Sus scrofa: one gene and its partners. The protein of the gene in region 3 purifies or fractionates together with the protein of the main gene of each other region. This does not show direct contact. Links are inferred from orthologs where the notes say so. Each region holds a gene or a part of one and is shown on either strand. Other genes may lie near its edges.

The links. Proteins that work in one complex are often made in the same cells at the same time.
Region 1: the proteins of PIP4K2A (region 3) and UBE2H purify together in Homo sapiens (affinity purification with mass spectrometry; 3 studies listed by BioGRID and IntAct, with this or other methods). This does not show direct contact. The link is inferred for Sus scrofa from reciprocal best matches to the Homo sapiens genes PIP4K2A and UBE2H.
Region 2: the proteins of PIP4K2A (region 3) and AHCYL1 purify together in Homo sapiens (co-immunoprecipitation; 3 studies listed by BioGRID and IntAct, counting the BioPlex papers as one, with this or other methods). This does not show direct contact. The link is inferred for Sus scrofa from reciprocal best matches to the Homo sapiens genes PIP4K2A and AHCYL1.

Annotation. Positions count from the first base shown.
Region 1 is NC_010460.4:18,883,193-18,892,954, reverse strand, and holds part of UBE2H (ubiquitin-conjugating enzyme E2 H), read right to left. Parts: intron 4,722-9,762; coding exon 4,645-4,721; intron 4,101-4,644; coding exon 4,026-4,100; intron 1-4,025. UniProt on the Homo sapiens protein: Accepts ubiquitin from the E1 complex and catalyzes its covalent attachment to other proteins. E2 ubiquitin conjugating enzyme that transfers ubiquitin to MAEA, a core component of the CTLH E3 ubiquitin-protein ligase complex.
Region 2 is NC_010446.5:110,091,842-110,101,603, forward strand, and holds the end of AHCYL1 (adenosylhomocysteinase 2), read right to left. Parts: intron 9,288-9,762; coding exon 9,181-9,287; intron 8,343-9,180; coding exon 8,226-8,342; intron 7,972-8,225; coding exon 7,908-7,971; intron 7,124-7,907; coding exon 7,035-7,123; intron 6,666-7,034; coding exon 6,595-6,665; intron 6,231-6,594; coding exon 6,136-6,230; intron 6,047-6,135; coding exon 5,948-6,046; intron 5,546-5,947; coding exon 5,477-5,545; intron 5,038-5,476; coding exon 4,959-5,037; intron 3,846-4,958; coding exon 3,725-3,845; coding exon of another isoform or gene 3,721-3,724; intron 3,219-3,720; coding exon 3,212-3,218; 3' UTR 1,142-3,211; downstream 1-1,141. UniProt on the Homo sapiens protein: Multifaceted cellular regulator which coordinates several essential cellular functions including regulation of epithelial HCO3(-) and fluid secretion, mRNA processing and DNA replication.
Region 3 is NC_010452.4:52,219,322-52,229,675, reverse strand, and holds the start of PIP4K2A (phosphatidylinositol 5-phosphate 4-kinase type-2 alpha), read right to left. Parts: upstream 5,144-10,354; 5' UTR 5,014-5,143; coding exon 4,870-5,013; intron 1-4,869. UniProt on the Homo sapiens protein: Catalyzes the phosphorylation of phosphatidylinositol 5-phosphate (PtdIns5P) on the fourth hydroxyl of the myo-inositol ring, to form phosphatidylinositol 4,5-bisphosphate (PtdIns(4,5)P2). Has both ATP- and GTP-dependent kinase activities.

The DNA.
Region 1 (9,762 bases), on a different chromosome or scaffold from region 3:
AGTGTAGGTCGCAGACACGGCTCGGATCTGGTGTTGCTTTGGCTGTGGTGTAGGCCAGCAGCTATAGCTCCAAGGAGACCCCTAGCCTGGGAACTGCCATGGGTGGAGCCCTAAAAAGGCAAACAAACAAACAAACAAAAAACAAACAAAAAAATCCCTACATGTTCAAATACGATTTATTTCAAAGCAGCCTCTCTGGAAAACAATACAAATAATATTTCAATGACATTACAAGTGATTAAAGGAGTTTTATAACTTTTCTTGGAAAGAGCCCATAGGGCCAGTTTAAAAGAAAATCATATGTTTAAACTTAAGTTCATAATCATGTATCATTTTATACTCTGATGTTACTTGGTTTTTCAACTCATCTTATTCTCTAGAAATTAAATGACCTTTAGCCATCTCAAAAATTTATATTCAGCTTCAAAGCATCCAGATTTGCAAACACTCATAATATTCAAATCATGTAAAATTCCAAAAGATGCACTTAAGATGTCTGGAATAATGATGGCATTGTAAGAGGAAGCTCATAACTTTCCCAGGAGTCTGTTTTACCATTGTGGGGGGGACCCCAAAAAACTTAAAGATGTTAAATTGTTTTTAGAAGAACATTTTTAGTTATAGCTTATGCAATCATGTACTACTGAAAACTCTCTAGAACTATATTTGGGGCATATCCCAAAGTTAAACATGTCAAATTACATTGAATATATGCTCAAATATGCAGAAAAAAAGTTTTACATTTTTATGAACTTTAGGTAAATAATGATATCCACTGAGGGACAGAAGTGTAAGACATTTTCATTTTACTTTGCTTCTGCTCACCTGGACTTTTTTACATTCCCATTATGTATATGGGGCATTATACAATTTTAAAATATATAAATATTAATATTAAACAAAAAAGTATATATACATACATATTTTAAAACTCCAAGATCTAAACATTAAGATGTTTAAATCTAAATTTGCACATCTTAGTGTTTAAGAGCGCAAAGTCTGGCTCAAGGAAGAAGGGTACACCTGCCTAGATTCTACAGAGGCAGGGTTTACAAAGAACAGAGAGATTGGGTTTATCTTCTTATTCTTCTACAACTATCTACACAATTCAAAAAGGAATCCTTGCCATTCGAAGTGAGCCACTACCTCTCTCAAAATGTTTAAAGCACATTCCAACAGTAATTACATTGTTGACGACCTGAAAATGGGTCACCCCACAGAACTGATTAAAACTCTCTTATGCAATCTCCTTTGAAGGAAACAAGGACAGCCTGTACAAATATTTCAACTAGATCTACTTCCCTAAGAGAAGATAGTACACATTTGTAGGTATTACCAAGTTCTAAAAGCTCACAGAAAGGCAAAGGAAAAATTATGAAGAAGTTAAATTAGCCTAGTCATTTGCCCTAACCAGTTTCACATTACATCATTAATTTAAGAAAGTAAATAGGTTTCTGCAGTGTCAGTGTTACTAAAAACGGTGCCTGAAGTTTAGATATTTTTACTTTGAAAGTTATGATGAAACAATTATCTGAAAATGTATGTTAAGACAAGATTTGAGAAATAACTACATTTCTAAAGAATATGTAATTGCATTTCTACGGTTTACTGTTAGTTTCAACAAGCTATATTGTTTCCTTTCTGATTAGGAATCAAGGGTAACAAAACTAGATTTAGCAAGCCAATTTTTAATCTTTAAGTAAACAGGTATTTATGATATTATTTGAAGGTATTTATATGGTTTGGACATTCTATTTGTAAAGGTTTACCACTCTACATCAAGTTGAAAATGCCTGTAGAGGAAGAAACATCTTAAAAGATAAATGGGGGAGAAGGAACCAAATGTGACACAAAAGCCCTCCCAAACCAAGTGAAACCTACCACAATGGAATGGACTGCCCCACCTGTACACCAAAGGTGAATGTCAGATACACTCGGGGACTGTCTCAAAGACTCAGCACCTCACAGCACCCTTTCTCTATCACCATCTGAGAACTCTAAAACTCAGGAGGCCCTTGTAGCAATGGGGATATTTCCAATTCAATTATCCATTAAAGCATCTTCTCAATTACTGAGTTTAGAAAACTCATCTAAGGGACCAGGGACCTTAAGAGGAAATCACCAGTTTATTCTTTTTTTTTTTTTTTTGGCTTTTCTAGGGCCGCTCCTGAGGCATATGGAAGTTCCCAGGCTAGGGGTCTAATCGGAGCTGTAGCCTCAGGTCTACGCCAGAGCCACAGCAACACGGGATCTGAGCCACGTCTGCAAGCTACACCACAGCTCACGGCAACGCCGGATCCTTAACCCACTGAGCAATGCCAGGGATCAAACCCGCAACCTTATGGTTCCCAGTCAGATTTGTTAACCACTAAGCCACGACGGGAACTCCACACCAGTTTATTCTTAAAATGAGCACTACGAGTTCCCAGCCTAAGAAGGAATTATAGATACTCTGTAGTATTTTTATAGTATAAAACTCTAAAATACATAAAGTAGCTAAATGTTAGGAGGTAGGCTGCTGCATTTGATTGGAAATTAGTCTGTGACTGTTCTAATGCTTCCACATTATTGATCCTAGACAGAAATGTGGGGGCCTAGAAACAAAACATAAAGCTCAGAATGTGTTTGGTTTACCTCTTTTTAAAAACCCTTTTCTGGGGGAAGAAGGGGGAAGTCTAATTCCAAGATGTCTGGCATTAATTCTGATGTCAAGGCTACAGTAGGCGCACGATACTTGAACTCTGACAATTCTGAACATGAGGTTCAGTGTGACAGAAAACATTCTAATATATTCCATTTTCTTCTTAAAATTGGTCAATATTTCATAATATTTTTAAATCATCTACAGAATGAAACATTTATTTTATTTATTTATTTTGCTTTTTTAGGGCTGCTGCACCCATCCATATGGAGGTTCCCAGGCTAGGGGTCTAATTGGAGCTGTAGCCGCCGGCCTACGTCACAGCCACACTAGATCCGAGCCTCGACTGCAACCTACACCACAGCTCACAGCAATGCCGGATCCTTAACCCACTGAGCAAGGCCAGGCATCAAACCCAAAACCTCATGGTTCCTAGTCAGATTCCTTCTGCTGCGCCACAACCAGAACTCCAGAATGAAATTTTTAAAAGCTGTCTTAAGTTAGCTAAGTTACTACCATTCCACAATCTCAAAATATTTAAAGGCACACTACTATGTGTAGAATAGGTAACTGGCAAGGACCTGCTATGTAGCAAAGGGAAATCTACTCAATATTTTGCAATAATCTATATGGGAAAAAAGAATGGAGATATATATTCACTTTGTTGTATACCTGAAACTAACACAACATTGTAAGTCAACTGTATTCCAATAAAATTTAAAAAAAAGTTAAAGGTATCAACCCTCAATCAAGTACACATCTATAGCATCTGATCCTAAAATTAAAAAAAAAGAACTGTCACTAAATGCCTTAACAGGGGTTGCAGGTTAATATCACCAATTAGGGCAGAAGGAAGATGAAGGTAAGGGAAAAAACCACCCTTTATACAACTCCACTGAAGTTTCTACTCTCCTTTCTTTAGCTGTTTAGAGGGTTAAAAAGATTAGCAGTGGAGAGAATGGAAAAGGGTTACCCAGAGTCGGAATGAACAAAAGCAATGTAGGATATAGAGAGGATTTTTAAATGGCAGAATTAGAATAGACACATATAACATTAATTCCAACAACCTGGCATTTAAAGTGAGACTTAAGATGTTTATTATTTTACTGCTAATAGCCTAATGAACAGTGAGTCTAAAAATTATTTGTTTCATCTGGCCCTGAAACACAGAAAAATCTAGTTATAGTCATTACAATCACGCAAAGGATATATTTAAACATCTACTATCACACTTTGTAAGTCCCCCCAAAAGTTACTAATTAACCAAAGCCAAAAAGGAAAAAAATTAGGCTAACTAAACACTTCTGGAATTATCATAAATTGCAGAATTTTTTTTTTTCTATTTCAAAACTCTCTAAATGAGAGAAACTGAGTAGTTACATACCTATAGATGGAGATTTGAAAGGGTATTTATCAGGAAGATCCACTCTAACTTTCCAAACTCCACCTTCATACGGTGCTGAAATGAAAGTAAAAACGTTAAACATTAGAACTGTGTCACCAAATTAGAAAATAAATCTAAGTTAAACACTAAATCCTAATCTCTTTTAAGAACCTTGCAAGAGTCAGAGATCTCATAACTAGTAGTACTCTATGTGCAATTATGACATTTATCTTTTAAAAATCTAGAGTTAAAAAAGGTTCATTTTCTCTCCCAAATTTACCTGATTCTTTAAAGTATTAAAACACTATTCAATTACCTGGTAAGTAACAGCCTAATATTTCCATCTACCCTACTCCCATGCCCCAAAGAAAGAAAATTTTGCCCCAAACCATCTATAACTTTCAAAACCCCAAATTCACAATTCATGTTTAATACTGTCACCCAGAGATAAAAGTACATAAAGTAATTACAATAAGAGCAAGATTTCCTTGCAGGTTCAAGAGTTCAATTAAATTTACTTTTCAAAAACTACACCTATCACCATTACCATCTGCTTTGATATTTTCACTAAGGAGTAAAAGACTGTAATAGAAAAACACATACCAACGCATATACTTACTTCCCTGTGGTCCATAAAACTTCACTACAAATTCATTGAGTCCTCCCAGGATTGTAACCTCATGCTTACTCTCAATGCTAAGGTGGAAGGTAAAGGAAATCACACAGGCTTTGCACTACCTGGAAGAACTAAAGATGGCAACCCCAAGATATGCCATTTAAAGTGTTACCAACATTTTATATGAAACTAATAAAATATAAAATGTGAACAATAATTCTGGTAATTTAAAAGGCAATATAGACGTCTGTGAAAGGAATATGAATGAGCTTTAGATTCAAAGACTGGTGTTCAAATCCCAGAACTGCCATTTACTGGATTTGAGCCTAGACAAGAGAATTTTGGGTTTTGTTTTTTTATTTTGTTTTGTTTTGTTTTTTGCTGTTTTGGGGCCGCACCCACAGCTTACAGAGGTTACCAGGCTAGGGGTCCAACTTGAGCTGTAGCCGCCACCGCTGGCCTACACCACAGCTCACAGCAACACAGAGCAAGGCGAGGGATCGAACCCGCATCCTCATGGATCCTAGTCAGGTTCGTTAACCACTGAGTCACAAAGGGAACTCTTAGACAAGAGAATATAAACTCACTCACTCTCTGAGCCTTTGTTCTCCTTTGCAAATGAGGAAAACACCACTTTACAGCTATGAAGATTAAATGAGTTAAATATGTAAAATGTGTTAAGACCACATTGTACATATAAATAAACAAAAAGCAGGCACTTAATTTTAGTTTTTCTTCCCTCTGTACTCTATCCTCCCCAACCTATCCCTAATGATCCTTTAACAAAAAAACCAGTATTCCCTTTAGTCAAATTCAAGCACTCAGCAAAACACTCATGCCTCTAAACTGGAAATGCCATACTCCTAAAATTACAGATTTACCAAATCCACATAAGTTTCTCCCTGGCTTGAAGAATAATCAGAATAACTAGTGATACAACCTTCTGTGTTCTCCTTCTCAGTAACTTATACAAGTCTTGAGACCCACCTCTTTAAGGTACTAAGACCAATTACAGAAATCAAACTAATCCACATCAGCAGAAAACAGGGCTACTGGTCTAATAATACCTGTTTCATGTCTCTGCTTTGTGTTCTAACCCAATAATGACTCTACCGATAAAAATTTTAGGTGGTAAGATTTTTGGGGAGCTCTCAAATCCCACTGAAATGGTTAAAAAAACCCAACAATCAGATACAATAGGCTGGCCTCATCTTTCTCAGTCAGCAGTGCAAACTACATTTTAACTATGTATACTATTATACAAAAGAAAAAAAAGCCAAAGAATTTTTTATTATTTATTTTTCATCTTTTTGCCTTTTCTAAGGCCACTCCTGCAGCATATGGAGGTTCCCAGGCTAGGGGTCTAAATCAAAGCTGTAGCTGCCGGCCTACACCACAGCCACAGCAACGCAGGATCTGAGCATCGTCTGCGACCTACACCACAGCTCACAGCAACACTGGATCCTTAACCCACTGAGCAAGGCCAGGGGTCAAACCCACAACTTCATGGTTCCTGGTCGGATTTCTTAACCACTGAGCCACGACGGGAACTCAAAGAAATTTTTAAGTGATCTCTTAGAGAAAAGTTGTATTTTTAAGGGCTTGAAATTAAGTATTTGGCTCTCTAATCCTCTGTTGTCCTGTAGGCCAAGAGACAGAGGCCAGGTGTATTTTTGGCAAAGTCCTTGCTCAAGAGTAATGAACAGTACCTACTAAAGATATTAAATAAGATAATTTAGTCTATTTGATCTCATTCTTTTCTAAATGAAAACTAACTACTTCAATAATATGCACAATGAAAGGATTCAAAGAGTATCCACACTGGAAAATTGATTTAATTTCTCATGGTCAAATGACACATGCATGCATGTTTTTTCGTGTACTAAATTCTTCCTGACCAGTCACCCTCTGACATCTTTCTACAAAATATTCCAAAGCTAATGCTAATGTAATTAATTAAAGTACATGTTTAAATTGTTTTAAACAACCAAAACAGCTCCCTTCCATTAGTGAAAGATAATGAAATCAAATCTAGCTATAATAAACAAAATTAAATACTAATAATTAAATTCTTAAACCAAACAAATCAAAAAATCTTGAGGATAAAAAGACTTAAGAATGACACCAAGCCAGAAACCACAGAGGGAAAAATCAGTAGGTACAATTGTGCATGTGCGTGCAAACAGAGACACTTAAATTTTATATATTAGAAAAAATATAGCTAGGACAAACTATGAAGAAAAGGCCAAAATATCCAAGTTAAGAAAACTGGGGAGTTCCCATCGTGGCACAGTGGTTAACAAATCCGACTAGGAACCATGAGGTTTCGGGTTTGGTCCCTGGCCTTGCTCCGTGGGTTAAGGATCCGGCGTTGCTGTGAGCTGTGGTGTAGGTTGCAGACATGGCTCGGATCCCGAGTTGCTGCAGCTCTGGCGTAGACCAGCAGCTACAGCTCCGATTCAACCCCTAGCCTGGGAAAGTCCATGTGCCGAGGGAGTGGCCCAAGAAATGGCAAAAAGACAAAAAGAAAAAACTGGAATTAAGCTATAAATAGTCCAACTCACTAAAGTAGTTTAAAAATGAGGTAATTTCCAACATTAATTGATAAAGATGAAAGAGCTAGATAAAACCAAGTGTCCCGTGAAGTATAAATTAGTATTCCTCAGGTCAAATTTAGTACTATATTCTAAAACTTAAAATGAATTTACTCTTTCACTCCATCTTCACTTTTTTGACGTTACTTAAAACAAAATAAAACAGACACTGCTGATGGAAATGTGATATGGTTTCAACCACCCTGGAAAACTGCTGGCTTGGTAAAGCTGCACACATGCAGGCCCTACACCCACCAGCACTACCTCTAGTAGATATGGACAGCGATGTGCACCAACACACACGTTTAAGGATGTTCACAGCACTATTTGTAATATCCAAAAATTAGGTTACGACCCAAAGGTTCATCAATAAAAAGGATAAATTATGGTACAATCACCCAACAGAAAATTACACAGCAATAAAAAAATAAAACCGCCACATGTAAATGGATGAAATCTCACAGATACTATGGTGAAAAAAGCAGATAAAAAGAGCACAAAGGATATGATTCCAATTACACACACTTCCAACAGACTAAATGCATCAAGGTGTCAGAAATTAGGACAACAGTTACCCCAGGGTGGGGACTGTGATCACTGAAGAGACCTCTGGCATGCTGATCATACCTTTATGTACTGTTCCATTTATCAGTGAGCTACAAAAATGGTCTGTGTACTTTTTGTATATATGTTATGATTTAATAATTTAAAAAACTAACAAAATAAGACTATCTGATATGCATATAAATGTTTGTTGTATTTAAAATTTTAGAATGGAAATAATTCAAGTATTTATCAATAGGATACCTGTTAAATGAATTATAAGCTATCAGGCTGCTACTAGCACCTATTAGTGTATATTAATGTCCTATCCCCACACAGAGCGCTCCTCTGATGTGTTTTTGCTCAACCTGGGGTTACTAATACTCAAATGAATACACTGTAGGAATACAGACAAAGATATCTCAAACAAAAATAAATTTGCAAGGATAATAAAACAATGGAGTAAGGTAGAGGATCAAATGAGTTTAACAAAAGAAATAAAACTAATTTTACAATATAAAAATCTTAGAGGGAGTTCCCGACATGGCACAGTGGAAACGAATCTGACTAGTATTCCACAAGGATACAAGTCTGAACCCTGGCCTCACTCAGTGGGTCAGCGATCCGGTGTTGCTCAGAGCTGTGGTGTAGGTCACAGACACAACTCGGATCTGGCATTGCTGTGGCTGTGATGTAGGCCAGCAGCTATAGCTCCGATTGGACCCCTAGCCTGGGAACTTCCATATGCCGAGGGTGTGGCCCTAAAAAGCAAAAAAAAAAAAAAAAAAAAAAAAGAAGCAGCATTCCCTATCAGACCTATTTTGCTATAAATGACAGTGATCCATAGCAATTAACTATGAATTTAATTACAGAATTACAAGTTATCTACAACAATATCTCTTTTAGAAAATTGAAGGTCATCTTTTCTATCATTTACGTGGATGCAATAAATTTAGCTTTCTTCCATTTTGTGATCTGTCTGGCATTTAGTCCATGCTTTTATCTACTTTCCAAAGAAGATCCTCCTTTGGAAACAGTCAAGTTAAAATGAGATTAGAAATTAATGCTCCAAACCTTCTCTTTCCCATGACCTCTGGTACAACCCACATTCCAGATACACTAGGTCTGTCTTTAATTACACATTACACTGTAAATTAAAGAGTTCTTAAAGTCCATTTCATATGAAAAGCTAAAAGTAAACTGAATGAAACCTTTAAAACTTCTACCAAGTTGGTAAAATGAAGAAGCTGTGCTAAATTTATGCCGCTCTGTAATGGTACAGACGCTAAATCAGATGGAAAAAAAGAATTTAAGTTTAGATGAAAGAAAAACACTGCATTAAAAATAAGCCATTCCATCACCCTGAATGAATGACTTGCCTACAAAAAAATATAAAATTACTTGACTGCTGTTATCATGTGTATTTATGGTAGAGGCCACAAGTTTCTTTCTCATTTCTGCTGCAAAGTCAAGGGCAAGGAAGGCAAACGAGAATGCCAGGTTACAATGACAAAAATAATGATCTATTTCTGAGATGTGCTGGTCAGACTAGCAGACTGGCAGGATCTCACTAGAAGGTTCCTTCGTTACCTTCTCACTTTCAAAGCTTGAAAATACATTCTTCAGATACTGTTCTGGTAAAAATGTGTTAAATAAGCCCATTAAAATCACATTTTACTCACCTCTAAGTTATTTGTAAAATACTGATTTTTACTTACTTAGCATTTCACTATTAAGGAATATCAGCATTTTCAGCAGAATAATGTTTAACATTCCCAGGAACCCGTTTCACTTTTAAAATGCCAGCCTCCCACCACCTTATTTTCCCTGAATGGCATTATGATTACACAATCTAATATTTAAAGGTTAATGCCAAACTGCCAAGAGAAACCTGACATTCTTGGCAAAATGTGTCTATCGGGATTTTAGAAATGATTTTTATATAGTTCTGGAATCTTCCAGAAAGGGAGCTAAGGGTTTAGCC
Region 2 (9,762 bases), on a different chromosome or scaffold from region 3:
TGAGGGAAATTTAAGTTCCCAGGCTAGGGATCAAATAGGAGCTACATCACAAGCCATAGCAATGCGGGATCCAAGCCGTGTCTGCGAATACACAGCTCATGGTGACGCCAGATCCCGATCCACTGAGGGAGCCCAGGGATCGAACCCGCATCCTCATGGACACTAGTCAGATCAAAGTCTGCTGCGCCACAATGGGAACTCCCCCTCCCATTACTGATGTTTATTTTGAAATCACCTGGTTAAGGTGAGCTCTGCCAGGCTTTTCCACTTCAAAATGACTTGTTTTCCCATTACTTAAGAAAAACCTCATGGAGAGGTACTTTGAAATTACTTACATAGCCCATTCTTCATTAAACCATTCATCATTCATTATCAGTATAGACTCAAGAGATTCCTATTTAATTCAATGATTTATAAGCCATTATTTTGATGCTCAGATTATTCCAGATTTGCCCAGTGTAAATCTCTTAAATTTACCTTCTGTGTCCTTTGGACCGTAATCATTTTTTGAGTACTTCCTTGTTTTCTTGCTCACCTTGTGTTTTTCCTGCCGAGTCATGGAATCAGCCATTTCTCCAAAGAGTCCTGGCTCCTTTAAGTGACGAGTTTAGTGGATAAAACCTCACAGAATTCAAAACACTCATTTTACCAGTCTGCACTGAAAACATCAACATTGTTTTGGACCATTTTAATAGAAGAGAAAAGGTCTTACTTTTGAACAATATTAACAGATACATTTTAAAATCTGAAAATGTGGAGACAACTTCAGAGATGGATACAGGTGTGGGAAGGGGCTGAAGCTTACATAACTTTGGAGGCATTTTTTTAAGGAAAAAAATTAGGCAGAGGGTCTTATAAGGGGCCTGTGTAAGTGAGGAGCCCCGAATTTTAGGCAGCAAGTTTGCTCTTCAACTTGAAGGAAGTTAGAGTGAAACTGCCGAGGCCCAATGCTCGGCACAGAGCAGGCCTGCAAAATTTAAGATAATACTGAAGAACGCTGCAGCCAGCCTGTTCCCCTCCATACTAGGTACTGAGCAAATCTCTGCTATGTACTGCTGAATGTCCCATGACTTGTCTGTCTTAGAAAACAGGTTCTAATGAAAGTTTTGCTGTTCAACCAAGAATGACACAGGCTTCCAGGAAGGTCTTATCATTTTAATTGACTTTAATGATTATTGCTCATCTGCAAGGATTAATATTGCATTCATTAAAAATCATTCAATACAAAATAAACTTGTTCCTCCCAAGTTGCTCTCCACACGCTCCCTCTGATGCCAGACATTTTCCCACAATGTCCTTCATTACATGGCTGACAGAGACGGAGCCCTTACCTAGTATTCCTACGGACACAGTAATAGATATGGGAGCAGGGAGCAGGCCAAGGGCAGCAGGACCTGGGCCCCTTCCCTCCAGCAGAACTGACGTGATGGATACCACTCTCAGCCAGGTTACCTCTCCTAAAGGATGTGCTGTTGTGATTGGCTGGTTAAATGCCCTGGGAAAGGGGGCTTGAACCGTTAGCATCTACAGAGAAGAAAAGCATGGTCACACTGGCAAGGAGTGGGAAGGGGCTGGGTGGAGAGAAATGGGAGAGGGAAGGGGAAAAAGTTTTGGCAAGATCACTGTCCCCAGTTAGGAAGTCACAGGGTGAAAGCTTTCCTTTTCATATTTCTGGTTTTTAATTATTTGTCTCTGATCAATGGCGATAGGGAAATGAACATTTCTAGTACCTAGAACTAACGCCTGATCCAACTCTGAAGGATCACAAGCTAGAACAAGTTGAGGGTTTACAATCCTGGGTAATTATACAGTTAAAGCTCATGAGCATAAAGCTCGTCTGACCATGCAGAAATGCTGGTGAGCAGGGTGCATGGCTTGGGAACACACCTTTCTGATCTCTGAGAGAACCTCTCTGCAGATTCTTTCCGAGCATGAGCCAGGACACTGATTACTTTCTCTATGTACAAACTGCCCTTAAGACTCAGTTCATAAACTCTCTGTGACGTCTGTCAATTAAAAGTGGTACCGCTTCTGTAAAACTAATGTTGTATGGGGCCTGAAGTCCCAGACAAGTTACACGGAATTAATTTCTCTCACCCTGGCCCAACTACCCATCCTCCTTCCATCCACATCTACCTCCCTTTAAATATTTTAAATTGCAGAAGCACAGCTAACCAGAAATTTGCTCTTAAAGGATAAATCCTAAAGAGAGAGCTCAGTGCCTTATACTGAGTAATGGCTCAAGAAATTTGCTTTCAGCACAAGCTGATGGGGCAGAGCTGATAAAATTTGCTGTTACGGCCCCAGTTCATTGATGCTATAAACTATGGGCTAAAACAGAGGGATTATCAGAGTTTGAGATCAGCATTTCTCTAGATTCAACTCTGCACTTTTAGCTCCAAAGGTTCAAAAGATAAACTGATAACAACTAACCACTCAAGCAGCTCCTCTGTATTAAGACTAAACATTTTTCTTACTTATATATATATATATAAAAAAAACCCCAAAACAAAAAACAAAACAAAAGAAATAAATGCTAGGGGACAAAACAGAGTAAAGTCTGGTTAAAAACCTGAAAAATGAGAGGGTCTGGTGGGAGTGGAGGAAGAGCTGTACTAAATCCAAGTGGGCCTAGTGGATCTTAACAAGCAACATTCACTAGTACGTATCTCTGAGCCAAACATACCACCTTTCCATCGGAAACAGGGCTTGGAACACCTAGGGGAAATTAACATGCACCACCTACAACTCACCTACCTGCCTGGTAGGTACCATCCCTGCTCCTCTGAAGAAGTGAAAGAGCACTGATTTCAGCAGCTAAGAAATGGGCTCTTTTAAGGCAATTTAGACATTGCAGATTGTTCCACATAGAAGGTACCTTAGCATTTCCTGTTAATAAGGTACCCAATTAAGACTATAAAGTCCCCAGAAACGGTAAAGAAAGAATCACCTTTCTGGGCTGGGAGAGTAAAATCTTTCTTTAGTCACTAGGGTGAGAAACCTTGAATCTCAGTTTCATCTAAAGAGTCATGAAGCAAGTTCCTGTGTGGTCTGCAAGAACTTGGACAATGAGATGAAAAAACAAGAAAGAAATTACAGGAAAAAAAAAAAATCAAGAGGAAAAGATTAAGGAGAAAATAAAAGTTATCTTAAAAATATTTCTTTTAGAGTCGTGTGGTTCAGGTGGACTGGTCCTTGGTAATCTGGTCCGTTAGTATCTGTAAAGAAGAGATTGGTTAGCGCTTGTGGCTTCCACCTGAGAATTCCAAGAGAAGACTCAGAAGCAGAGAACACCCTCCAGGGTCCTCCCTGCCTGGGCTGGGATTCCTGCAGTCGTTCCCCAGGGAATACTCCTCCCTGTGCTTCCACAGTTGCCAACAATGGCATCTCTAGTTTTATCTCCTGCTCCCAAATAAGGTTATCAGGTCATGGTTTTCAACCCTGACAACACATCAGAATAATTTGGGGAAGTTTTACAAGATAGACCTGGGCCCCGTTCTAGACTATCTCTATCAGGATCTCTAGGAGTGAGGCTCAAGCTCCAAAATCTTAGAAAATGCTTACCTCTTTACGTCTATTACTAGATATACAACTTCTCTGTCTACCTCGTAGTTTGGGACAGACTTCTCTGCAAAACCAGCTACAACCCTATTTAAGAAAGCTGGCTAGTCTGCTTGGCTTAACACTGGAGAAAAGAGTTTTCATTTGCTTTCCCCCATGTTACCTGTAATAATTGGGTTTGAATGGCCCATTTTTGTTGAGTCCCAGATACTTTGCTTGGTCATCTGTCAGCTCGGTCAGGTGGGCATCAAATGATGGCAGGTGCAAGCTGGCCACGTACTCATCTAGAACAAAGCAGCAGGGAAGCAGGCTCCATTTCAAATATGGCTCTCAGGGCATAACCCGCCCCTGTTTTCACTGGAAGCTTTTTGAGAGAGAGGACAAGGGCTGCGATAACTTTTAAAGAAGCTACAATTCAGAACAACAGTGTAATTTAAAAGACCCTCAAAGCCGCCTTTGACGTACTTCTCTCAGTATAGCCAGAGTGCACTCAGAAAGCCATTTGCTGAGGTAACAAGATGGGGTGACTTATACCTCCCCATTCTTCTCTGGCAAGGCTTCTGGGTTCATCTCAATGGCCAACATACCAGGTACTACTTCTCACCTTCCTGCAGCAACTTCCTTTGCTGGATCAGAGTCAAATGATGGATCGAAGTGGACATCAGTTAGCTCAGAAGAGCTGTCACCAACATTTACTTAAGACCTGTAAAGGCCTCAAATCTTAGCATCATGGATTTCTAAGACACCTGGCACAACTGTATTACTTTTCTGTAGATAAGCTTTCTGGGTTTTTATCCTTATGATACAAATTAACAAATAACCGCCACCCCCCTCCCCCCAAACCAAAAAACAATCTGAGGTAAGCCGCTTGAGGGGACAAGAGCAAGATGTTTTTCAGCTTTAAGAGCCAGGGATTTGGGCTGAGGAGGTTGGCACTACTCAGAAAGGCAAATAACTAAAAATTATGCATTATGTCACATAAACACAACACAGCTGACCCCGGAAATGACAGGAGACTGTGTATCTCACAGAAGATGGGCAGTAAAACCTATATTTGTTCCTGTTTCTCTCATTTTGGTCTCAGGCTGTAATCAGTGGTTTACTAAACTTTATAAAGCTACTCAGATAAAGAGCATCTACCCTAAACCACTGTGCTAAACCACCTTTACTCATTAGCTGCACTTCTTACTATAATTCTGCAATGTACGTAGTATTGTTCTCACTTTACTGAGAGAGGAACTGAGGCTCATGGAGATTAGAACTTGTGTTGAGGTCCAGAAAGTGCTAGAACAGGGATTAGAACTCCGACTCTAAATTCACTGCTTTTCATGATATTCATTTTACCAAACAATGTAACAGTCTGAGGATTAATGCATGTTTCTCCTGTATCCACTCACCCATTTTCTTAGGAAGCAAGTACACGTCTTGTTTGTATCGTCCCTCAGGCGCATTATAGAGCTCTATCAGTGCCAAAGCCTACGGTGGGGAAAGAGGGTCAGAAACCACAAAAACACTTTTCAGGGCCATTTAAAAATCAAACTAGATTTAACAGGGTCTTGGGGTAATCAGTGATCTGCCACAGCGACAGCACTCAGGACGTGGATTGTAATAAATGCCAGCACACATCCTAAGAGGATTTGTTGGTGCTGTTGATTGGTTGCTAATGAAAGGATAGACTAACTACAACTAAGCTGGAACACCTCATTTTCAGTTAAAACAGCCACCTCGAAGGGACACAAACACTGACTCTACCTGGTGATTGTTCTATCCTTGAGGAGGCATTAACTCCTGACAATCTGTGACCTGAAGAAAACAGGCTGCTAAGAACAGAGGAGGGCACACTCTCGCTGGAACTCTAATCTAGGCCCAGCTCCAGTCACCTCAGGGCAGGCTGAGCCGGCATTTGGTCACATACCTGTGTCGTAGCTGTGATGGACAGAACAAAGGTGGGAACTGTGGAGCAGCTCAGATTGAGCAGACGACCCTGAGAAGTAGAAACAGAGTCCAGGGATGAGCTATGTGATCCCTCTGTCACATCACGCGAATCAGGCAAATGTAGGAAAGGCTTAATGCCCCTCTAGACTAAGTTGGCAGAAGAAGAATTAAGACTTTCAAACCAGGACTCTAGGTTTTATCGTACTTTCCACAAGTCCACCTGAGTCTCGACAAGCTGAAGAATCACTTGTGGTCAGGAAGTAGTACGTTACATAGCAAAGAGATTTTCTGAGGGATTCTACTTTGGGAACCAGACTATGTGAGAAACATTCCTCTGTCCACAGACAAAATTCAGGGACGCACAGGTGGAGTATTCTTCCCCGCCGCCCCTCTCCCGACAGTGCTAACCACACTGTTTGGCTGCACTGCCCGAACCCTTCTGCGTGTGCACCTCTGCCAGAAGGACGACGCGCTTGCCGTCTGGCCAGATGACATGATCCACCTGAGAACGAACTCGCTCCCACGTCAGCTCCGGAGTTCGAAGGCTGGTCTGAAAGGAAGATCGCACAGAAAGGAAGAGGCTATGATAGAAGGAAGAGAAAAAAAGGCCCAGCAACAAAGCAATGAGAGAAGGCTCACCACATCAATTTCCGTGTTTGAGTGGCCCATATTGCACACGATACAACTGTTTTTCATGCGATCCAAATGCTCCCGTGTCACCACATTCTTATTTCCTGAAAGTCAAAGAGAGCGACTGAGGAAAGAGATCCCAGGGGTCAAAGGCACTGACTGGCTCTTAGTTAGAACAGGGGAGAGAGGTGGTCTGCTGGCACAAAAGAGCACGTACACACTGTGAGGGAAGACGTGTGAGCTCTTAGGTTCAGGCATTTGGTTTTAAGATCAAGCACGATAAAAAGTCAAGGAGGCAAAAGGCACTTTGTTCTGGCAAATATGTTCAACTTCTGATAGCTTAGTGTAGTTCTCAGCCTGGGACCCAGAACACAGGTCTTACCTACTTTGTAGGACAGTCGATTAGACCACTTTCAAGATTTAACCCCAGAATTAACACTCCTCCATGTACACCAAAGTACTACTTACCCGTGCAAGTTATTACGACATCAACTTGCCGGATAACTTCATTTAGCTTTACCACTCTGAAACCATCCATGCTGGAAGAGAAGGAAGGAACGCTATAAGCAAAGGCAAGAAGGCAGTGGGACAGAAGCTGGTCACAAAACGAGGCAGGCAAAGTCCTTTGTAAAGTTAGATCCAGGGCTATCTCACTGGAATAATAAGTGACAAGCTGGGCTAAACTCTACACACTGGCCTCTTCAGGCTCCCCAAGATTCTATCCAGGAAGAGAAAATACCAAGAAGCTGTAGGAGTGCCTGTCCTACGATTACGTGGAAGGAACAGTGCAATCCTAGGCTTCTCCGCTGAGAGATTTCTGCAAGGAATAGTTCATACAATCAATCACAAACTCTCAGAAACATAAAGTACCTGGAGTGAATCTAATGGTATTTCTGCTCTGTTCTTACCAGGCCTGCAGAGCACAGATGGGGTCAATTTCTGTGATATAGACAATTGCTCCAAGGGCCTTGAGAGCAGCACAGCAGCCCTTTCCCACCTGCAGGGAGTAAGAAAGAAGTCAGGTCCGTTAAGGCATGGGTATTTGGGCAGGCAGGCTCTCTGGGAGACAGGAATTAGCCTTCCTGAAACCACCCATCATCTAGCAAGTGACTGGATGCTCCAATCCAAGCAAAAGAGAAACAGATCGTAATTATGTCGTGATCCTTAGTCAGAAGTGATTTAGCAGACATTTCGTAGCAAGGGCTGGAGTTTGGGAAAGTAGAAGAGATAAAGGAAATAAAAGTATCACATTAGGGAAACAAGACCAAGGAAGAACAACTGGAACCTCTAGTTTCTCATTTGAGGAAAACCTGCTGTCACTTGAGAAGCATCTAACTAACTCAAGGACAGCCTAGCAGCTTAGGGACTTCTGTGGGTCATTGTTTATGACAATAAATAAAATCCCTGTCACCTATTTTAAAGATAATTGACTGTCCATCACTTCAGGTGCTACCCTTCACTCTACTTGAAGTCATCTGTGGGGCCAAAATGCTACATATTCACTTAAATTAAGTCTCATAAAAGGTTACTATTGTAACTGGAGGGAAATTATGCCAACTTTCCATTCCATAAGACAAAGTGGTAAAATCTGAAGACAATTCGTTCTGTACGTCTCTATTCAGAAATCTGAAGAAAGGACTTTTGCTATTATTTTGAGATACTTTATCTATGAGCGTTTTTAAACTCTGCAGCAGGGACTCTACACTGACAGCACGAGTCTCCTTCACTCGACATTTGCACCAAGTCTGGGGAGAGGCAGACACCCAGGCCCAGCTACTTACCTCGCCGTAGCCACACACCACCACTTGTTTCCCACCAAACATCACATCTGTGGTCCTCTTCAGGCTGCGGAAACAGACAAGAGCTCAACTCAAACACCACGGGCTCAAACACAGTCCCTCTGAAAAGTAAGAGCGTGGGACAAGGCTCCAGAAGAACTCCAGCTGGAAGTTGGCTGGGCTCAGTATGAGACGGAACCCCTCAAACTTCTAAAGCCAAAGGAAGACCAGGGGACAAAACTGGACTGAGATCAGACCAACATTACGACCCAAACCTAATTTACTCCCTACAAATTTGAATAACTATATGTTGCAACCTACCCATCCAAAATGGATTCTCGGCAGCAGTACAAGTTATCAAACTTCTGTTTGGTAACAGAATCGTTGACGTTCATGGCTGGAACACAGAGCTTCCCAGCTTTGGAGAGCTGATACAGCCTAAAAGGAGAAGAAGCCAAAAAAACAAACAAAAACCAAATTAGCTGGTAAGACAAAGGAGCTGGCAAAGGCTGCCTAATTCTCTTCAAGCTCCATGTTGCCCTCCCCAGTCTTACTTATAGTCCATGAGTATTAGTAAATAAGATGCTTCTGCGTTATCCCTCCTCACTTCCTTTCATTTTCTCCTCCCCACCCCCCTTTTTATGGAAGGGAAAAAAAAAAAAACAAACAACCCTTTCAACTGAAGAAATTTACTTCTCTTCCATAAAGGGGGATACAGTTGATTAGACCAGCATTTTCTCAATTGTTAAAAAATACTCATGTCTATTTCTGATAAACGAATATTATCAATGTTTCTGATATGGTTTCATGTGGCATGTGCCGGGGTGTATGTGTTTTTGTTTGCTTAAGCGTGTGCAAGGTGCCCCAAACGAGAAACACTCTCTCAGCTATCTTTTAGGTATTCCAACAATACTTTACCCAGTTCTATAATGTGTATATAACATATGGTTTTACAATAGATTTTTTTCATATTCAAATATAAAATTAAAATACATAATTGAATACAGTTTTTCAAGATATACTCACTCCCTACCTCCCAACACTGATTGAGACTCACAGTGGAATAAATGGGAGAGAAAAATGGGTGAACGAGAATTTGAAATAATTTCCCTTTAGGGTTTCCTTGATTTTTGCAAAGGTAATAACTCAGAAGTTTTATCTAATGACAACACTCCCATTTAGTTACAAATCTGAAACACAGCCCTACAGCCTAGGAGAGACCAGAGGAATCTGCTGCGGCAAGGACACGAGGGGCAGCTACTCCAGAATCTGTTACCTGTGAACACCAGTCACGCTCTCTTCCACAATGCCTCGGATCTTCTTAAACACGTTTGGATACTTCTTATAAACCCAGTGGGTTAAGTCTCCCCCATCATCCAGGATCTACAGAACAGCCAGAAGACTTCTATGGGCATTCAGGCTGCTAGAGCTGGGGGGAACTTTGAACCCACTTTCTGCACTAGTAAGAGAGCCCTGTTATGTTTTGGAAGAGCAATTCTCAGTGCTCCTTAGAGCAGGTTCGGACAGCGGAAACACAGTCAAATTTGTTGGTGTAAATGGTTAAAAGGGTTCCTAAGTTTGTTCTAGGCTAAAAGTGAAGAGTAGTAGGCTAATCACAGACTCATTTTTTAGTCTAGAGGACTGAAATACAGGCCCTTTGAATGCAAAAGGAGAGCTGGGGCAGGAAGGAAAGAAACCAGAATTTGATTCCAGAGAGGTACCATATCATTTTCTTCAATTGCATTCTGCTGTGTTTGAGCCACATGTGTTCAGTTGGTCTGACCCTTCCCCCGCCTCTCCATTCTGTACTCAGACCCATTCTGAAGAGCTATCAAGGTAAACATTACGGCAACAAAGT
Region 3 (10,354 bases):
TACAATTACTGCTGAAAAATCTTTCCAAAGATACAGCAGACAATCCTGTCATAGAATGAGAAAGCGTTGTCTTGCCATCGGAATCATTCTGATTATTCAAGTTCACTCTAAGGTAGCCAATCAATGGAGAAGAAAATGTATTCTGTTCTTGGGATATAATCCTAAGTTTTAGGGGGTATAAAAATATTTCCCTAATAATAAACTCTGTGGTGTGTGTGTGTGTGTATATACACATGTGCTTGGCATTCTTCAAAGTAAAGAAAAAAAGTTGTGTAAGACTAGTTCTTTTTTTTTTTTTTTTTGGTCTTTTTTTGCCTTTTCTAGGGCTGCTTCCATGGCATATGGAGGTTCCCAGGCTAGGGGTCTAATCAGAGCTGTAGCCGCTGGTCTATGCCAGAGCCACAGCAATGCTGGATCCTTAACCCACTGAGCAAGGCCAGGGATCAAACCCACAACCTCATGGTTCCTAGTCAGATTCGTTAACCACTGCACCACGACGGGAACTCCAAGACTAGTTCTTAAATGAGTGGTTATCTTGGGTTGAATTCACTGAGTTTCATCTAAAATCTAGCTCATTATTATTTTAATTTAATTGCCTCATTATATTCCATTCAGTCAATATTTCATAGTCCTTCATTGCATTTTTACACCCTAGTTTCCTTCTTTAATCTTTTCCAGTGCCCATACATAAACCTATCATCTATTTCTCCAACATTATTTCAAGTCCCAGACCTTGTTGAGAAGATAATAAAAGCTACGAATGCTCAAGTCAGAAAACCATGTATTTGCCAAACACACAAAACAGGGCACATGGGCACCAAGACAATCAGCCAGCTCTTATACCAGGACAGGCACCTCTGCTCCCAGGCATCAGGCCCAGTGGGCAAGAGCAGCCACCTTTTCATAGCAGCTTGGTCCAGGGAGATGCCAGGACCAGTGAGGAAGGTGGACCAGTCAGAATCCCTCCATGGGATTTCTACAACTGAATCAGAGACAGAAAGCCCCTTTGGAAGGATGTGAAAAATGCGAAATTCAGGAAGCACTAGCTCCCTGCCCTGGGGCAGGGGGTGGGGTGGGTGGGGGAGCAGACAGTTACAAGCAAGCAATAGAAGAGGCCCAACTGCACCCAAGCACCTGGTTCCAATTATCCCCGAAGCCCAGCGCACTGCTGCTCCCCCGGGTTGCTTACCTTCCCTCCACACTGACCTCCAAAAGCCTCCTAATATTTACAAATTGGCCTGTGCTCATCCACGTTTCCACCGCTCCCAACCAAAAGACTGACATTAATATTGGTTACTTATAAATACTACATTTGTTTTAAACCAACTATATGTCCTTTAAATTTTTCCTATACAAAGGTCTTCCTTTAGATATTTAAGTAGGCTTTTAAATACACATTACTAAAAGGCTCCCGGTTCAGTCTGCATAAAACTCTTCTTGAACATCTATTTAAAACAAGCCTTGACTCCTATCATTCTACATGCTCCACACACTATTAAAATACAATTCTAAGAAGCTAACTGCTGGATCATTTTTAGTTTAATTCCAAATGTAACAAGACAAAACTGCCTTCTTAAGTCATCTTTTCCTTTATGTATTCAATTATAGTCCTTGCTTAAAATACTTAAAATAAAAATTGGCAGTGATCCATTCACGGATGGGTATTTTAAGTCAGAAAGCAGTAACATATCAAATTAACCACACAAACTCAAGCTTATTCTTGTCATTGAGAATTACCACCACAATGGACTTGAAATTTTCCACCTTAATTGCAAGTTTTTACATTTCAATCAAATAGACTAGGACTTAACAGACGACAATGCAGCCCAACTACAATCTGTCCAACAAACTGAGTTCACACGTGTCCTGCGATCACCGAGATTACCACAGATTTCCTTGCCACTAGCCACGGCCTTGCAAATTCCCTGAGGGCAGCTGCATTTGCAAGGTTGTAACAGTAATGCAACTTTTGTTATATTCTATCACTATTCCTAGTCTGGGGAGCCTAACTTAATGCTAGAAACTTAGTCAACTGTAAAAGTAATGAATCTGGAAGTTAGGAAAAAAATTAGAAATTTTTCAGTCCGATTACTTCACAGATGCAAATATCGATGCAAAAATAGTTAATGGGCCCCAAAGCCAACAAAATTAGAGAAAGAATTAGAACCCAGATCCAACGAGGGTTTTACTGCAGTGTGTAGAAGATTCCCAATCTTAGAAGAAGCCTATATGATACTCTATGTAGCAAATGACTACTACAGATCTCCTTTAGTGCTTCAAATAAACGGTTGCTTCTAAATGTCCTAAGACAAACCGAAAAGAACTTTAAAAGCAAGAAATGGCTATGTTCACGACAAATCTTTTCCCATCAGTCCTGAACACATCAGAAATACATGGAAAGACGGGCTAAAAAGAGCTCTTCCTTTTCTGCTAGGCTTTCTCAACCATCTCCATTCATACACAATACGATGCTTCCTCCTTAATAATGCTGACAAATTTATTCTCATATCATACTATAGACTTTGGTGCACACAAGGTCATATGAAAACATCTAAGACTTTGTCACTAAAATGAAACCAACCAGAAATGCATGGCATCTAAGTGCTTAGATTTCATCTTTACATACACTTCCTTTTTTTCTCAAAAATAATAAAGAAAATAGACATTTTTAAAAAGAAGGATGCTGAAACAGACCTTTCTTAGGTCAACTCAGAGCTCTCAAAGAGATTCCGACAAAAATATGAGGGGCGTACAGAGGCTGGCACTATGTGTCTGATATGTATTTGTTGAATGAGTAACGTGGTTATATTGCAAGTATGGAAGCATGAGTCCTCTGAATAACTAAGAATTGCTACCTTTTTTGAAAGCAAAAGAAAACGCAGTACCTACAAATCACATTATTTTTATAAGTTTTAAGTACTTTCAAAAGCATTTCCAATTAGCAAGGAACTCTAAAACAAATGTAGCAATTCAAAAGTAGAAAGCAGCAACAGAAGTGGGTACAGTAAAACACACGCAATTACAAGGCTTTCTAAAGTAAACTGGAGTTCCAACTAATTCCCAGAGAGCACACTCTCTCGTTGGCAATATTATCACCACTGCTTTACTAGATTAAACCCTCAGACACAAACACTCCCCTGACCAGAACTTCAAAGGAGATAAAAGCACCCATATATGCAGAACTAACAACATTAATTTTTCAAAAAGTAAATAACGTAATAACAAAAAAGCTGAACAGATTCAGAAACAAAACTCTGAACTGTACACTTATTACATAGGAAAAATAACATTTTATTTACTGTAATAAAACTTAGGGGAGTTTTGGTGCAGTAACATTTTCTGTTGCAAAAGCTTACATTCCTAATTGCTAAAGAAGTTATTAGCAAGTTAACATGAACTTCAATGGATCAGGCATTAGGCTGAAAGAAATAATCATTCTTCGACTTTCTACAGTCATTCCTTGCAAATACAATCAATCCTGCTACAGTTTCACCTTCCCCCCCCCCCACTCAGCTTGGGAAAGAAGAAAAAAAAAATACATACAATGCTTTTGAATCATTTAAACTAACTTCCTTAAACTGAGAATGTTCTTTTAAAAAACAAAAAACATGGTTTTCTGTCATTTCTATTATGCTGAAAAGGGCCCACAGACACCCATGCAAATCAAAAGTAAGGCAGGCAAGCTTATACTTTTCCTCAGACGCTGACTGCAGTGAGTAAGGTCATGGTCAAAATGCACAGGCTCATTTAAACTTTCATGGCTCAGCCAACAGCTCCTATCAGGTTTCCTGATCCTAAGGAGATTAAAACTGCAAGAGTTTCTCCCGGTAAGGTCGGCAGGAGGCTATTTCGGACCCTCAAACCGCAGTCCGCAGAGCCCGCAGCCGCGCATCTTCAGCACCTCTGGCTGTGTGTGTTAGGCTAACCTTTCCAAGCGTCCTCTCCAACCTTTGAAACAAACCCCCCAAACGGATGCAATCAACTCAAGACCGCCTTCCATCGCTCCCGGCGAGACCTACCCCCAACCCCCGCTCCCGAAGTCATCCCCAGGCCGCCTTCCGCAGTCGGGGACTTCGGCCTGGCTCCCCAAGGTGGGGGAGGAGGTGTGGGGAGCAAGACTCCCCGCCAAGCAGCTCTTCAGCAGGCAGAGCGGCAGTGCGATGCGGGAGAGGAGCAGAGGAAGATGCTAAACCCCAGTGCCATATTTACACTGGCTTTTTCTTTGCCAAAAAGATTTCTTGTGTCCAAGAATATCGCCTTTAAAGGTAAAAAAAAAAAAAAAAAAAAAAGGACCTAAGCACCAAGCCGCTGCCCAAGCTCCCCGATCTCCAGTATTCTCACCCCTGTCCCCCGTGCGGGGTTGCCGCCAGGCGCTCCCTAGCCTCGGACAGGTACACCTGCAGAATCACGGAGGATCGGGCCGCCCCCGCAGAGGAAGCGATCGCCAGGACTCCGACCCCAGCAGCCCCCGCTGGGGTGATAGCCCAGGCGGAGTCGTGCCCCGCACAAACTTCCCAGTTCCTGGGCTCCGGGGACAGATCCGCCAGCGAGCGGACGGACGGACTGGGGGCGACAATGGTACCGGCCGCAGAGCTCAAAATGCAGATGGGACCCTTGTCCTACATCCAGCCCTAGGTCCAAAGGGGATCCAAGTGGCGCCCGGGCGGCCCCCGAGGGGCTGGCGCGCTGCGCGGGGCTGCGGCCACCGAGGCGCTTCGGCTAGCGGGCAGCCCCAGAAGGCTAGCAGCCCGAAGGCTGGGGCCCCGCTCGGGCTCCCAGCCCCGCAGCAGCTGCAGCGGGAGGAGGAGGGGAGAGGGGAGGAAGAGGAGGAGGAGGAAAGGGACTGCGCGCCGCAGCCCGAGTCCTTACCGAGTGGTTTACCCCCCACATCAGGACGCTGAGCAGCGGATCGCTGGCCCGAAAGAGCTTCACTTTCTGCGCTACGAAGTGCTTCTTCTTCGTCTTGGTCTTGCTCGCCAGGACGGAGGACCCCAGGTTGCCGGGGGTCGCCATGGCCGCCGCCTCTGTCCCCTCCACCGCCGCGCTCCCGAGGCCGGGGACCCGCCCTCTCTACACGCCGGCCCGGGGAGGCAGCCGCATCCCCCCCGGCGGCGGCCCCGGCGCTCTGTGTCCGCTGCGCCCACTGGCGCGCTCGCCCCGCTCCGCCCGCAGTGCCCGCTCGGCCCGGCTGGAGAGGGAGGCTGTGCTCGGCTCGCGCCCCGGCCGGGATCCCGCGCCCGCCGCGGCTCCGCGCTCAGCCCGCGGCTGGACCAGGCGCGCCGCGAGCGGCTTCCGCGTTGGGCGCCGGCGTCATGACGCAGGGGGCGGGCGGGCAGCAGCTGCGGCGCCGCCGGGCGGGGCGCGGGGCGCGGCCGCGGGACCGTTAAGCTGCGCCCTCGCGCTCCAGCTCCTGCCCGGGCTCCGCGGCCCGGGGGACGCCGGCGAGCTCGGGGCGGACGCTCCCCGCCGGCTGAGGAGGCCGCGGGGTGGGCATGCGGCGCAGGGAGCGTGAGGACTCCCGCAGGGCGTCCCCTTCTGCCCGGGAGAAAAAGAGGAAGGGGTGGAGGCAATGGGGAGGTCGGAGGAGAGGAGACCCCAGAGGCGGTGGTGAGGCTAAGGAAGGAGGCTCGGGGCACCGCCGCTCTCCGGTGCCAAGAATCGGGAGACCTAGAGAGATCTGAAACCCTGGTGGAGACCAGAGCTTCCCTAGCACCGGGGAAACGGACCTGGACACATTGTTGGCCTCCTCCCAAAGGAGCCCTGCAATGAATTTATTAATCCCTTTGTGCTTTTAACCATCGAGCCTTTTGAACCCTGAACTTGGGCCTTCCCACGCGCATGCAGAAGGGAGACGCTCACCCAACCCCCGGGACTGTCTTTCCCACCACAACTCACGGTCGCCAGGGACAGGACCCTGCATGCCTCATCCAGAGCCTTTGGTTTGGCCCAGAGAATCCTGCCCCAAATTGCACCTTCTACGTCAAATCCTCCGAGGTTTCCTACATCTCTTCTTTTTATCCGTTCCACTCACCTTCCACGGAAATCTTTCCATTGTCTTCATCCACGTACACCTAAATTTAGCCCTTCTGAATGCTAGGAACACCTGACTCACCTCAGGAAGCTGCCTTTCCAAGCATGTCTAAAAATCTGCTGTCCCTGTATCTTCTCCAGTAACCAGCATCCTGGTCTAGGCACTTACCCTATTCAGGCTACCCGGCAAGATTATATGTCTACTGTCATTGTTACTCCCCCAAATGCAGTGGTTTCCTGCTGTGTGCCTAGCAATCTGCTTGCTTCTGTCAGGGAAAGACAGGATGACAGACCCTTATGCCTTACGGAGCGGAGCTTGAGTCTCAAGGGGTAGGAAGTGACAGATCTCGGGGTCACCTTCCTTTGCTCCTTTGTTCTTAAACATAAGGGTTGCCCCAAAGTCCTCTTACTCTCTTGCTTCATACTGTTGTCCAAAATGTTATCTGTTCCCCCGGCCTCAACCAGAACCACACTTACTGTTTTAAAAAAAAGAACCTGGAGTTTCCATGGTGGCTCGGTGGCTCAGCAGAAACCAATCTGATTAGTATCCAAGAAGATGCAGGTTCGACCCCGGGGCCTCACTCAGTGGGATAAGGATCCAGCGTTGCAGGGAGCTGTGGTGTAGGTCAAAGATGCAGCTTGGATCCCATGTTGCTGTGGCTGTGGGGTAAGCCCGGCAGCTACAGTTCCAATTCGACCCCTAGCTGTGGGTTTAGGCCCTAAAAGACAATAATAATATTAATAATTTTTTTAAAAGAACCTAAATTTGTAGTGAGAAGAGACAGGGTTGCCCAGTGCTCCCAATGAGCAAACCAGTGAAACTCTCTGAGTCTCAGGTTTGTCATGTTACTAAAATCAGACACAGATGTCACTTTAGGGACTACTCTGGGCCTGGTGATCATAATCCTGCCCTACCTACTTTATACGATATTTGTTAGAATCAAAATCCACAGTTGACAAGGGGCTCTGAAAAGCACTCCGTAAATCACATGGCATTGTACACATACAAGGTAAGATGCAGAGTTCTTGTGTATAACCCACAACCTCTATCCTGATCTTAGAGAAGTGCCTGGTTGAGCATCTCTACATCAATTGCCCACAGGCACCTCAAAAAATTGTCTAAAGCCAAGATCAACATCTTCATCTCATACATCGGTTCATTTTTCGATTATATTGGAAATGGCATTCATATCACTCAGTTACTCCAGCCAGAAGTTCATTTGTTTAACAAATTTTCATTGACCCAGACTTGAAAGCTTAGAATTATCATTGATTATTGCCTCTCGTCACCACTCCACCTAAAACACTTTCCCAGGTCCTGTCCTTGAAAATAATTGTGCTCCAGTATTCTCTCTTTCCTGATGCTCTCATGGTCCTCCTAGTTGAAATTAATCCATTCACCTCAGTGCTATCATAGTGCTTTATTTGTTCTATGACAGCTCTATTAGACTTAACTATATGTTAATAATGCACAGCAATGGGCTTGCTGTGAATGCTTAAAAGCTGAATGTAGTGATGACAAAATGTTGAACGAACCTACAGGAAGGAGAAATGGATACCTGTGGGCTCTGTCAGGTTTCACATAGGAGGGTGACCAGGCATCAATGAGTGCACAGGTGTCATTCCTGTTTGGGGCAGACCTAGGCCTGGGTGTGGAGCTGAAAATCCATGTGGTATTTTCAGATAATGAGGAAACGTGTAGCTCTAAAAGGACAAAATTTTTTTCCCCAATTTTATTATGATAGAGTTGACATATAACATGGGGTAAGTTTAAGGTAAACAACTTGATGATTTGATACACAAATGTACAGTGAAATGATTCCCACCCTAAGTTTAGTTAAACCTACATCACGCATAATTACCATTTGGTTGTTTGTTTTGTTTTTTGTTTTTTTCTCTTTTTCTAGGGCCACATCCACGGCACATGGAGGTTCCCAGTCTAGGGGTTGAATCAGAGCTGAAGCCGCTGGCCTACCCCAGAGCCACAGCAATGCCCGATCCAGGCCGCGTCTGCGACCTACCCTGCAGCTCACGGCAGCACTGGATCCTTAACCCACTGAGCGAGGCCAGGAATCGAACCCGAAACCTCATGATTCCTAGTTGGATTTGTTTACCACTAGGCCATGTCGGGAACTCTCATAATTACCATTTGTGTGTGTGTGTGTGTGTGTGTGTGTGTGTGTGTGTGTGTGTGTGCGCGCGTGTGATGAGAGTATTTAAGATGTGCTCTCTTAGCAACTGTCAAGTTTGTGATACAGTAATGTTAAGGGACAAAATTTTTGATGGCTCGGCTTGCTTTGAATGGCATTTAATATAATGCCGTTCATGAACAGGTCATTAAGTGATCTTTGCCAATGACCTTTCACACTTCCTGTGTCTTCTGCAAGGATGTGTGTGGTCGTCAGAGTTCTAGAGTCACAGAAATGAACTCAGAAAGTACCTAACCCAGTTCCCAAATTATCTACATTAGACAATGGAGATCTAGAGAAGCTGAAAGGATTTCCTGAGTTGTTGGGAGACAAATTCCTTGAAGGCAGAGTCCCTGTAGTCTTCACTCTCTATCTTCCCAAGGCACCTAACCTACTCCCTTAGGCATAGCACCTGTGGCAAAATTTTGGTGAATAAATGAAATGTTCATCTCTCCCATCAAAGTTACAAGTAAAGATTCCACACCCAGGAAATGTGTGTGGAAACTTCCATTTAGAAATACTTTACTGAGACAGTAGGTCAAATTAGACCTAATATTTAAAAGTGAGGGTTACATACTATGTGGACTTAACAACCCAGTGATTTGAGCACTGTTTTCCTTTGGAGCTTGTGTGATCATGAAACAGTACACAGGTCTCTGGTTCAGCACCTAATTCGGGCTGCTGAGGTAGTCAAGGGTGGAAGCACCCCAACCATCAACGTTCAATCTTGGTGGGCATGGCTCCAGAAAGAAGAGGAAGGAAGTTCCAGGTCTGGATGGGCATGTGATCAAGTCAACCAAGGAGAACTGTTCCCGCCTCCTTGCATTTGGCCTGCTGGGCTTTTCAACCAGGTGCCAAGGCCATCCCAGCTGCCAGAAATGCTCCAGTCTCCAAGTTCACCAAGAAGAAGGAAGGAAATGTTGAGAAGACTAAAAGGCTCCTGATACTGATGTTTCTGCTTGTTTATACTTTCTTTTAAAACTTTTACTATAAGCAAATTTATTTACTATTCCAGAAGAGTATGGTGAAAGTGCCGTGTTCACTAAGGTATGCGATATCAGAAATGGAGGTTAAAATAGTGTGGATGCTCTGATTTTGTTCTTTTTTTTTTTTTGTCTTTTCTAGGGCCGCACCAGCGGCATATGGAGGTTCCCAGGCTAGGGGTCGAATTGGAGTTACAGCTGCTGACCTTCGCCAGAGCCACAGCAATGCCAGATCCGAGCCACGTCTGTGACCTACACCACCGCTCACGGCAATGCCAGATCCTTAACCCACTGATCGAAGCCAGGGATCGAACCGAAACCTCATGGTTCCTAGTTGGATTCGTTTCCGTTGCACCATGATGGGAACTCCTCCGATATTTTATTATACCCTTTTCACCAAAGAATACTTTTTCATTTGAATAATTCCAATTAGAATTCTTCCTTGAGAAGAGGAATTCCGTAACTTCCTTCGCGCTGTTTGGAAGCTTTTATGCTTTCCATTGCTTTCTGAAGAGATCAGAGCGATATGTGGGACAACGGCATTCCATCTTCTGTAGTGTCTTGCCATTCAAGATGGACTTAATTCAGAGGGCTGTTATTAAAGTACATACACAGTCAAACCCAGCCAAGATGCAATAAAAGGCATCCAAGAATTCAATTGTGACATGTGAGTCGCTTTTCAGGGGGAAGGTGTTGACATGATGCAGCACAGCTTGCCATCTGGGAGTAGAGGGTCTCGGTCTGCTGCCCACCCTAACTCTGGGCTGGCTGTGGTGTGCCACCAGCTAGCAGGGGTTGTCCACCCAACTGAAATATTAATGGTGATTTTTCTGGCTTCTATACCTGGCTGGGACTTCCAGGACAGTGGCAGCAATTCCAGGAATCTTCCCCTTGGTTGGCAACTATTTTGTTGGCCTGACTTGGGAGACTGGACTGGAAGACAGGATATAAAGAAACCAACGTGTAGGGTGACCACTTCCCAGCCTGCCTCGCCTTCCCCGACACACCCCAAGCAGGGGATGGGAACTTCAGTTGCTCCCTTGGAAAACAGGAAGCTGTGTGGAGGACAGGAGTCGATCTCTAAAGACATCATGTCTTTATTATGTATAGCCCTAGAGCAGAAATAGAAATTCCCAACACTGGGAGAGCAAC